3 linked regions of the Tamandua tetradactyla genome follow. The protein of the gene in region 2 purifies or fractionates together with the protein of the main gene of each other region. This does not show direct contact. Links are inferred from orthologs where the notes say so. Each region holds a gene or a part of one and is shown on either strand. Other genes may lie near its edges. The genes, in order: MED9, POLR2C and MED19.

Region 1 (3,748 bases), on a different chromosome or scaffold from region 2:
CGTTTCTATAGCCTTACTTTAATTGGGACATTTTCACAACTTTAGAACATGTAAACTTACAACTTAATAAATTTCCCTTTTTAAAAGCCATTCCATTTCTGTTATATCACATTTCTAGCAGCTTGCGTTGCCCCAGACAATTCCTAAAATAAAACTCTCACTATTTACATATTCTGTTGCTCTGGCAAACCCCAATACACCCACCAAAACCCCACCTCTCTGGCCTGGGATGCTAGGAGGTCCTTGTGCAAATGAGACCTTTGGGGTCAGCCACATGACTGCATTCCAGGGCGATGCGGTTGAGGCTCGCCGCGACCCTGAACCAGGTAAGGCTGTAGGTGTGATGAAGCTGGTCCGCCGCGAGTACCTGAGGCCATTTTCCCTCCGGCGGCGATACTGACCCATCCCTCTGTCTTCTGTGGGCGTTGGGACTGTCCCCCTCCTTTAGAAGTCCGCCCAGCCCCTGCGGCCAGCAGGTGCTCTCGCCACCTCGTCGGCCGGCCTCCGCAGTCCTAGGAGTTCTGCAGGCCCACAGCTGGCCGTCTCTGGACCCTTCGGGCTGGCCCAGGGTGCGGCCGCGGGAGAGCGGCGCCAGCCCGGGTGGCGTCTTCTCCTGGGCGCGGTGGGGTACGGCCAGTCCCCCGCCCCGCCATTCCCGTGGGCCCCCCCGGAGGCCCCCCAGGAGGCCCTGCAGGGGCTGGGCCGCGCCAGGCCTAGTCATCTCACGGCTTCCGGCTTTGGTTGCCTTTCTATCCTCGTCGTCAGCAGAACAGAAATAAAGACTGTGTTATTTTTGGAAATAAATCTCCTAATTCTGAGTAGTTAATAATTGAGTTATCCTGACCCACAGCTCATGCAGGCCACCCCAGGCCCGCCAACACGCCGTCGCCTAGCAACAGCATTCCCCACCCGCTCCCTGCGCTTCGGCTCCGCCCAGGCGGCAGTGCGCACGCGCAGAGCCGCCTCCGCGCCCCGACGCCGCGCAGTAGTGACGTGTGCGACCCGCGACGCTTCCGGTGGGTGGGCTCTTCCGGGGCGGCCTGCTGACCGACTGACCGTGCCTCCCGTGCCATGTCCTCCTCCGGGGTGGCCGGCGGGCGTCAGGCCGAGGATATCTTACCGCCGCCCGCCGAGCCGTCGCTGCCCGAGACCAAGCCGCTGCCGCCGCCCCAGCCGCCGCCGCCGGCCGCCGCGTCCCAGCCGCAGCCGTCGCCGGCACCGAGGCCGCAGTCCCCCGCGGGCGTGAAGGAGGAGGAGAACTACTCCTTTTTACCTCTGGTGCACAACATCATCAAATGGTAAGGGCCTCCAGGAGGACTCGCCCGCGACGTTCCCGCCTGCCTCTTACACCCGTTTCAGAGCTGAAGAGGCCTGGGCTCTCTTAGGCCCGTCCCGTTTTACAGATGGGGAAACTGAGACCCAGAGGGAGAAGAGAACTTCCCGAGACCACACAGGGACCTTCCAGGCATTCAGCAAACGCTCTGAGCCCTCAGAGTGGCCAGGCCCCTGATGGCTGGTTGATGTGAACAAAAACGAAGCCAGTTTAGAGACTGAGTGCACTGGCTTTGGTATGAAAGGGCTCGCATGAAGTCAGTTAAGCCTCTGTGACCTCAGTTTCTCACTTCTAATATCCGGATAATAGAACCCTTCTTCCTTTTTTCATTTAGCCAAAAGTTATGGCTCTTCTTCCCTGTGTGGCGCTACTTGCTAGGGGATGTTCGGATTTAAAAACGCTGTATTAGTTTAAGCTGCCAGAATGCAATATACCAGAAACAAGGGGCTTTTAAAAGGGGATTCAATAGTTACAAGTTTACAGTTCTAAGGCGGTGAAAATGTCTAAATTAAGGCACCCGTAAAAGGTTACCTTCAAGAAAGGCTCCCGCCCTCTGAAACACCTCTGTCAGCTGCAAAGGCACGTGGCTGGCGGCTGCTGGTCCTTGTTCCCAATTCTGTTGCTTCCAGCTTCTGATGCCAGTGGTTTCCTTTCTAAGCATCTGTGTGCCTTCACTTCGCATCTTTGGAACACAGTTCTGGGTTCTAGTTTACTTAGCATCTCATGGGTACGGGCATGTGCTCTCTCTGTGTTGGAAGCATCTTTAAACATCCATGTCTCTGTCAGCTCCGAAGCAGTTGTTCTCCAAGCTTCTGTATCTGTGTCAGCTCTGAGCTCCCTCCAAAATATTTCTCCCTTTAAAGACTCCAGTGAACTAATCAGGACCCACCTGAGATGGGTGGAGTCATATTCCATCTAATCGAAAGGTCACACCAGCAACTGGAAGTGCCACATCTCTGGTGATAATCTAATCAAAGGGTTTCTGCCTTACAATATTAAATCAGGATTAAAGGAAACAGCTGTCCCCACAAGATTGGATCAGAATTAGAACATGGCTTTTCTAAGGTACATAATAGTTTCAAAGCGGCACAAGAGCCAAGTTTTCACCCCCATATTTCTTACCAGCTAGTAGAAAAACCCTGACATGAATATGAATAGCCCATAATTCAGACAAGAGAGGAGAGGGGCGGATGAGGGGGAATCTTAAAGTTGCCCCACTGGATTAGATCCCCTGATTTGACCTTCATTCTAGCATGGTTATCAGAGGGGGTGGTTTGTCATCCTTTTGACCAGCCTTCAGGTAAGCCTGAATTTTCAAACTGACCCCTAAAAAGGAAAAAAAGTTTCTCTAAACCCCATATGTACTTAAATTATTTTTCTTGTTATATTACTTGAATATATAGTCACATAATACTAGGTGTGCTTATGCTTAGAACCCTTATTCAAAATGAAGTACATTAAAATTACCACTTCAGGAAAGTTCAAACGAGCATTAATGTGCTCTGTGAGGTTTTGCTGAAATGAAATTGCTACTCACAACACGAACATACTATTGACAGCCTAAATTCTTTTGAGGTTAGCCACCCTCAGTTCACTTGTCATGGGTGACATGACGTTTCCACTGCTGTTTTATTCAGACAGCTCCAAGACCCTTGCTAGGCCCTGATGCCCGTGGGCTTTGCCTGGTGTGAGCGCACCATGTGTAACTTAGGGCAGACTCGTTAGTGTGACGGTCAGGTAGGGCAGACTCTCAGGTAGTATTTCCTGGCAGCAAACAGAAAAGCAGATGCAGACCCTGCAGTCCTGGCAGAAATGAATTATAAAGGCCTTAGCCAGGTTAACACGAATATGCATACCAATTTTAAGAAAGCTCCAAAATGAGAACAGAAGGCCCAGATGCTTAGAGATACCTCTTGGACCCACAGGAGGTGCGTTCCTGAGCCCTAGAGGAGCAATGGGCTTGGGCAGTTGAGTATACTAGAGAGAACACAGGCTTCGGAGGCAGAAGGCCTGCATTCAGATCTGTGCGCTGATGCCTTCTTACTTTATAATCTTGCTAAATACTTAACTTTTCTAAGTCTTAATTTTCTTAACTCTAAAATGTGAAAAACATGAGTTCACATTACAGCTCTGAAACTTACTGACTGGGTGACCTTGGGCAAGTAACTTAAATTCTCTGTGATTCTTTTTCTCTTATGAAAGGGATAGTTTTTAGAAGCATAAAGCGAAAGAACAGGATAAAATATGGTTACCACAAAGTGGACACCCAGCCCTTAGCAGTCTGAATCCCAAGCCGAAAGCAGTCTGCCCTACAGAGAGCCAGGGCCTCCCCCAAAATCTCAGGAGTTGGCAATGCCAGGAACTGGAGTAGGGGTGAAGGTGAGAGACCACCAAGGATCACCTAAAAGTAAGCCA
Region 2 (3,748 bases):
TCTCATTTAAGCACCAGCCAATTAAATCAAACATCATTCATTGCAGCAGGCACACCGCCTAGCCGACTGCAGATGTAATCAGCAACAGATGAGGTTCACATGCCATTGGCTCATGTCCACAGCAATAGATCTAGGCATGTTCACCTGGCCAAGCTGACAAGTGAATCTAACTACCACACTGAGAGATTCCAAACAGAGTTGAGGGGCTATCCTGGAGTTTATTCTTACACATTAAATAGATATCACCTGTTTAGTTAACGTGTAATGGAGAGGCTGGAGGGAACTGCCTGAAAATGTGGAGCTGTGCTCCAGTGGCGGGCCGTGTTTCTTGAAGATAATTGTATGATGATATGGCTGTCGCAGTGTGACTGTGTGGTTGTGAAAGCCTGTGTCTGATGCTCCTTTTATCTACGGTATGGACAGATGAGTAAAACATATGGATTAAAAATAAATAAGGGGGAACAAATGTTAAATTTAGTAGATTGAAATGCTGGTGATCGGTGAAGGGAAGGGGTAAGGGGTATGGTATGTATGAATTTTTTTCTGTTTTCTTTTTATTGTTTTTTCGGAATTGATGCGGAATCAAGAAATGATCATGATTATGAATGTACAACTATGTGGTGATAGTGTGAGTTATTGATTATATAACAAGAACGGAATGATCATATGATAAGAATGTTTGTGTTTGTATGCGGTTATGTATCATAAATAAATTAATTTTTTTAAAGCTATATACATTCAGGACTGGGGGCAATGTCAAATTTCCCTGCGAAATGAACCTGGTGCGTTTTGAAGCAGTTGGATTTACAAAAACTTCCTTCGATAGTCAGGCCCGGAGCAGTTTTGGTCTCCGAACAGCAGGAGACGCTGTGAGCGCGTCTTAGCGGAAGTAGCCGGGGCCTGCAGGCGACTTCCGGTATGGGCGGCCGCTGAGACGCCGCGGAGCTGACGGCAGAGGCTGGGCCGGCTGCGAGGCGCAATGCCGTACGCCAACCAGCCCACGGTGCGAATCACCGAGCTCACGGACGAGAATGTCAAGTTCATCATTGAGAATACGGACTTGGCGTAAGACTGCGGAGGGAAGAGACTGAAGGCTCTAGTGCTAGAGTGTCCCAGGGAGGGGAGGCTGGGGACCTCGTATCCTTCCAGAACTGGCACCTCCTGTGCCAGGGTCTTCGCTTGGGAAGTGGGGCCGGCCGTGGCGGCGCCTTCACCCTGCTTCATTTTCCCTCCTCAGGGTGGCTAATTCTATTCGGAGGGTCTTCATCGCCGAGGTGCCTATAATAGGTAAGCGACTTGGCCACATTGCCTCTCCACCCATGGGGCTTCTGCTGCAAACCCTTGGGTGAGGCTGGGGGTAAGGGTGGGGTATAGCTGGGAGCACTGAGAAAACAGCAATGCTGGAGACTTACCTAACCCCATGTCCTTGGCCTGGCCACTGTTGGTCACTTCCCTGACTCTCACGGGTCACTTAGGTCCACCGTTCCATATACACTGGCATTTAGAGGGGACAGACTCGATTTCTGCTCTGGTTTTCCAGGTACTTGATATATTGACAAGTATACTACAGAATTTTCTGAGTGTCTGCTCCCAGAGTTTTGCTTAAGCAAAAGAAGAATGTTATAGGTACTGCATCAGTGTGCAGTCTATTGTGAAATGAACAGGCCAAGTGATAAGCCACAATGTTATTTTGTGGCTTATCTCCCACCTCGGCACCAATCACTTCTTCAACTCAGAGCATGGAGTGCTAGTTGGACTTAATGATACAGCCTGAATTCTGAGTCTAAATGCCACTTGTTCCACAAATTCAATTCTGCAAATATTGGGTACTTCCTACAGTCCAAGCCACAGCCAAGAATACAAAGGTTAAGGTATCTCAAGACTCTACTGCAAAGAATTTTCAAAGCTAGAAGTAGAGTCAAGGTGCACACAAATAAAATACAAGGCAAAATATGATAAATGCCTTGAGAGGTTTGGACAGTTTTTTGAGTGAGTTCAAAGGGAGAGAGTGATTGCTTATGTCTCATGGAAGGCAGGCAAGGCTAGGGTTTTGGAGAATCAGGATTTCAGCAGGCAGAGGGGAGGGTAAGGGTATATCAGGGGGAGTAATGAGGCAGAAACAGAACAGCTTGGGTTATGGTCCTTTTTCGGCTGAAGCAAATGGCTTGGGTTGGGGAAGCAGTAGAAAGCATAGCAGGACAAAGGAAGTCAGGGCTGGCTAGGGCTGGCCTTCTTCTGACCCCATTCCTCATGTTTAGGCCCTTCATTTGAATGAATGAACGTGTGTTTAAACAAGTATATGTGAGAATAGAGCCCTTTTCCTCCCACTAGCTCATTAGAAGGTATGGGGTTCTATACTTAGTATGCCTTGTCTGTTGAGGAATTCAGTTAACATGAATTGATTTAATAAAGTGCAAAATTGGGTGAACTGGTCACTAGTTCATAAACTGAGATAAGGGCCATAAGTCTGTGTTACTTCTGTGAGGTTTTACCCAATTTTTAAATGTCCAAATAATTTGTGTTTTTGGAATTCATGTTCCCATGGGTAGCAAATTAGTGCTTCTCATGAAAGTATTCAGCACAAAGAAATATGTTCCCACTCCCAGTCTCTAAGACAATGTTTTGTTTTTGTGATAACAAAGACCCCTTTGCATTACATTCACCGTGTGTCTTGTTAAAATGAAGATTCCTGGGCCACTCTAGAGCTGTAGGATCAGTCTCTGGCAGCCTGGCCAAGGCACCTATGATATAATAAATAGCAGGTGATTTCTAAATCTCACAAACCACTACTCTTAATTCTGTAGCTGAATTTGGTGGCTAAACTGCATCTCTGTTTCCTTCACTTTTAGCCATTGACTGGGTACAGATTGATGCCAATTCCTCAGTCCTTCATGATGAGTTCATTGCTCACAGGCTTGGTGAGTGTTGGGTTTGGGTGTTGGAGGGTGCAGTGCCTGGTAGAAACCTTACTTGCATCCATCGTGGCATCTTCTAGGTTCCCTTTTGGGTTGGCTGCTTAGCCTTTAAAGTGTTTTTTTTGTGTTTTCCAGGATTGATTCCCCTCACAAGTGACGACATTGTGGAAAAGCTACAGAACTCCCGGGTATGCTTTGTGGTTGAATAAAAGGGGAGGCAGAGTGGGAGATGCCTACCTACAGTTCTCAGAGTGGTTTTGCCCAACAGTCTGGATATGTCAAGAACCTGAGACAGGGCTTGGTCCTCAATTCTGACAGGGCTTCAGATTCAGTAGGCTCAGGGGGCATCAGGAAGTCCCATTAGGTAGCCACACAAGAGGATAGTATATACCCCAGAATGCTCATTTATACTGAAGAGTGAGGGCTGTATCTTCTCAGAGTCTGAGCTATTCAGACTCTGTATTCCAGGGCCTCTCTTCCCAGTGACGGAGGCTTAGGAGGCTAAAGGAAGTCAATGGGAAGTTGGGATGGTGAAGGAGAGGAGCAGAAGGATTGGGAGCTGTCCCACAAGAACTGCACCTGAGGGACTGGCTATTCGTGTCTGCCAGGTTCATGCCCCTCCCCCGCAGGTGCTGCAGGTTTGCTCTCTACCTGTACGTTTGCTCTCCCAGAGGATGCAGTAAAAGGTCTTTGTCAGACTGGGGATAGAGTGGGATTGGGTTGGGTTCCCTTCACTAGGGCTGCATTAGGTAATTTGAGACTATTAGCTCATGATGTCTTTGGGTGATCCTGAATTGACCCTTTTCTAATATTCCCAAGGGCATGTCATTTCT
Region 3 (3,748 bases), on a different chromosome or scaffold from region 2:
GTGGGGTTAATTTTCATATGAACAAACCCCAAGATCGGGGGCTCAGCCTATTGCTTTGGTTGTCCCCACTGCTTGTGAGATATCAAGAATTCAACTTGGGGAAGTTGAATTTTCCCCCTTTCTCACCATTCCCCCAAGGGGACTTTGCAAATACTTTTTTATTCACTGTTCAAATCACTTTGGGATTTATCGGGGCATCACTCTGGACAAACCAACAAAATCTCAAGGTTTCTAGACATTTTTAAAAAGCTGTATTCCTCAGTTCAAAAATCTCAGTGGTTTCCTATTACCTTCAGGGAAAAGGTTAAATTTCTTTGGCACTGACGACTAAGTGCATCTTATCCCAATTTATCTTTGAGGCCTTATCACTACTCGCCTATGCAAGATTTTTCAGTCAACAAGATAAGTCTCTATCATCTCCTGAAAAGAAAAACCCACCCCTCATAGTGTTTCCTTTTAGGAAATTTCTTCCCAATTTTCTTCACCAATATGAATTCTTCATGGTCCATCTCAAGTCACATTTTACTGTTGCTCTCACTGTGGATGATAAGGAACACATTTTGAAAACCTTCATGTAGTTCTCAATATCGTTTGCAATGGTATTATTTTTAGTTGCTATATATGTGAAATTTGACCACAAAGTAATGAGATTGGCTTTGACTAGAAATACACTCCCTTACTTTATCCCTAAACCACATATTTCACATCTACAACTAAAAAAATCTCCTTAAAAACAAGGACCAGACATACTACTTTTTCTCCCTTTCCCACCACATGCTGTCATTACCACATACCCAGTAGTTTCCCAGAATAGAAGTTTCGTATCTGTCCACTCATTGATGTATATATAGGTACAGTCAAAATGAGTAAGACAAAGGAAAGATGAAAGAAACTGCTGGAGGCTCACCTCTCTAAGCTTTAGTTTTTCAACTATAAAATGCTGATAACAGTCAAGGGACTGTTCTATATTAAATGTTATAGCATAAAGTACTGCACTGATAATTGTTATTATCATCTCCCTCAACTATAATGTGGTAGTAGGACCTGGGCTGAACAAAAAAGCTTCTCAGACACTTATGTCCAAAAAGACTTTATTTCAAAACCCTCCAACCAGTCTCAGCACTACCATATATCCAGTTATTCAAGCTAAAAACTTAGAAGTCATTATCAATTTCTTACTTAAATCCATCTTTTGTTAGCGCTACCTTTAAAATTTATTCTGCTGCTATTCACTTCTATCCTCTACTGCCCTAGCTCTAGTCTAAACCATCAACTCTTCCCCACTTTCCATTCTTCACATGACTGCTTAAGTGATTTAAAAAGAAATACATTAGATCATGACATTCCCTTGTGTTAAAATCCACAACGGCATCCCCTAGAACTTAAAATCTTACATTATGGTGTAAAGGCCTCTGCCTACCTCTCCCACTTTCACTTCCTACCACTATTCTCCTTGTTCACTTAACTGGGCCCAATTTGTCTTCTGCTAGTCCAAATCTTTCTCACATCAGAGATTTAGCTTTCATACCATGTTTTTAAAATTATCCCCTCTCTCCACACATGCAGGGCTTATCCTTTCTCCATGCTGATTTTCGTTCCAATCTTATCTACTCAGAGAGCACTTCTCTGATCACGCTAGCTAAAGTAGTTCCTCCTGTTCCATTCTTTATCATATTTTCTCCTCCTGGCATTAATCACTAACTATATTATTTCACTTATGTGTCTACCCACTGAAATGTAAACTTCAAAAACGTAAGGATTTTGTCAGTCTTGTTCACAGCTGTAGCCTCAGCATTTAGAAAAGTGCTTGGTACACAGTAGGGTGCTCAACAAAATAAAATTTTGCATTAAAAGAATCTGGTTCAATTCCAAACCCTTCTTCGCACAGCTGAAGAAATGCCGAGGCCCTAGGAAGGAAATCAACTTACCCCAAACCAACAAGATTGTAGCCGACTTGAAACTGAAAACTTAGGTTTCCTGGGATGTTAAATCAGGCCTCTCCAGATACAAACTCAAACCCTGGGCCATTTTTAGGGAAACATAAACTAGTGTCAGGGACACAGGCCGGATGTGGCGTGGAAGATACAACCCCCTTTCCCCATCCCATGAATCCATGCCATCGCTTTGGGGGCTGATCCTCAGAGATCTTTCGGCTTTGAGCTCCACTGTCAGGGTACGCGATTCCTCGGTTACCTGGCACCAGCCAGCTGACAGGCACGCCCACTACGCTCTCTATGATCTGATTGGCTGGTTTCGGCCATGCCTAGCACCCACCTGGCAGTTCCCGCATCAGGTAAAAGGGGCCACAACCAGCCCCTGACTTGTCGGCGCCGGGAGGGGCCGTAGCCGCCGTAGGGGGCGGAACGGTACCGGGTCCCCCTCCCGGAGGGGGCGGAGGCGGGGGTGGAGGCTTTCCGGGTCCGTATCCGAGCGCGGATGGGGGTGGTGGTGGATCAGCCTGAGCTCCGAACAGCGCCGTGAAATTCTCCATGGCCCCAGCGGCGCCTCGGGAAACGCCCTCCGACTCTCGGAGCCGCTTAGCACTGGATGCCTCTGTGCCCGCCTGCCTTCTTCCGGCGACCACTTCCGTCGCTTTCACGGAACGTTCGGGAAGTGCTAGCTAACCTTATTAAATTTTCTGATAGCTCCACTGGTTACAGTTTCAGATCCAGTAAAACGACTTAGGTAGGAAGAGGGATTGCCAGATTGGCCAATAGTGGCTCACATCGCCTTTTATGCGCCATAGAAGCCAATCTGGACCTACTTCCGGGTCAAGGGGCGGCGCATCCGGAACTCGGCCCAATGGAAGTACCAAGGAGAGGGGAGCCGGGACCAAACCTACCACGGCCGGTGAGCGGCGGGCGCCGCAAGGGCCGGGAAGATGGCGGTCCTCGCACCTTTAATTGCTCTGGTGTATTCGGTGCCGCGACTTTCACGATGGCTGGCCCGACCCTACTACCTTCTGTCAGCCCTGCTTTCTGCCGCCTTCCTACTCGTGAGGAAGCTCCCGCCAGTATGCAGCGGCCTCCCTACGCAACGCGAAGATGGTAACCCTTGTGACTTTGACTGGGTGAGCGACCCCCGCCTGGCACCCGCGACCTTGACTTTCCCTACCCCAGCGAGCGCGTCTGGGAGCCCCGGGGTTCATCTTTCTGAGGATACCCGAGGTCCCGAGCCTGTAGCGGACTGAAGGACTTAGAGCGTAGGGCCTTGACTGCCATTGCGTCGCGATCTCTACGTCTTCCAAGGTGGGAAAACAGAGAGGCGTGGTCTTCTCGGGGTCGCGCAGCCGGTCGGTCCCACGTACTGCATAACAGCCCCAGGGTTTTTCCATCTCACCGTGTCTTTCCATCTCATCGTTCACGCTTATCAGTGGTCTTCCTTTCTCCTCGTGTGCAACGCTTTCCCCTTCTCAGAGCTCTTTGCTGCCCACTTTTTAAAAACAACTTAAGGAGCTACCGAGGTCGGTAAGGCAAGTAGTAGTATTTCCGTTTTACTGACGAGGGAATTGACCTCATCGTGGTTAGGCAGCTAGTCCCAAGTCTTACAGCTAGTGAGTGCCTGGAAGTTAAAACCACTCTTTCGCCATAGTACCTACACATTAGGTCACCGCTTAATTCAGTAAACATTTCCAGGATGCAACCTATATATGCCAGGCATACTGGATCCTGAACTGCAAGGATGAATAAAATTGTTAGACCTATTGTAAAGGAATTGTTAAAAAAAATAAAAATAAAAAACAACAACA

Evidence for each region.
Region 1: the proteins of POLR2C (region 2) and MED9 purify together in Homo sapiens (affinity purification with mass spectrometry; 3 studies listed by BioGRID and IntAct, with this or other methods). This does not show direct contact. The link is inferred for Tamandua tetradactyla from reciprocal best matches to the Homo sapiens genes POLR2C and MED9.
Region 3: the proteins of POLR2C (region 2) and MED19 purify together in Homo sapiens (affinity purification with mass spectrometry; 4 studies listed by BioGRID and IntAct, with this or other methods). This does not show direct contact. The link is inferred for Tamandua tetradactyla from reciprocal best matches to the Homo sapiens genes POLR2C and MED19.

The regions. Positions count from the first base shown.
Region 1 is NC_135332.1:1,176,539-1,180,286, forward strand, and holds the start of MED9 (mediator of RNA polymerase II transcription subunit 9), read left to right. Parts: upstream 1-1,026; 5' UTR 1,027-1,071; coding exon 1,072-1,298; intron 1,299-3,748.
Region 2 is NC_135342.1:51,145,672-51,149,419, forward strand, and holds the start of POLR2C (DNA-directed RNA polymerase II subunit RPB3), read left to right. Parts: upstream 1-902; 5' UTR 903-979; coding exon 980-1,065; intron 1,066-1,237; coding exon 1,238-1,287; intron 1,288-2,849; coding exon 2,850-2,918; intron 2,919-3,050; coding exon 3,051-3,103; intron 3,104-3,748. UniProt on the Homo sapiens protein: Core component of RNA polymerase II (Pol II), a DNA-dependent RNA polymerase which synthesizes mRNA precursors and many functional non-coding RNAs using the four ribonucleoside triphosphates as substrates.
Region 3 is NC_135335.1:19,876,170-19,879,917, reverse strand, and holds the start of MED19 (mediator of RNA polymerase II transcription subunit 19), read right to left. Parts: upstream 2,708-3,748; 5' UTR 2,492-2,707; coding exon 2,275-2,491; exon of another isoform or gene 2,182-2,274; intron 1-2,181. Other genes in the region: TMX2 (thioredoxin-related transmembrane protein 2), read left to right, coding at 2,882-3,070. UniProt on the Homo sapiens protein: Component of the Mediator complex, a coactivator involved in the regulated transcription of nearly all RNA polymerase II-dependent genes.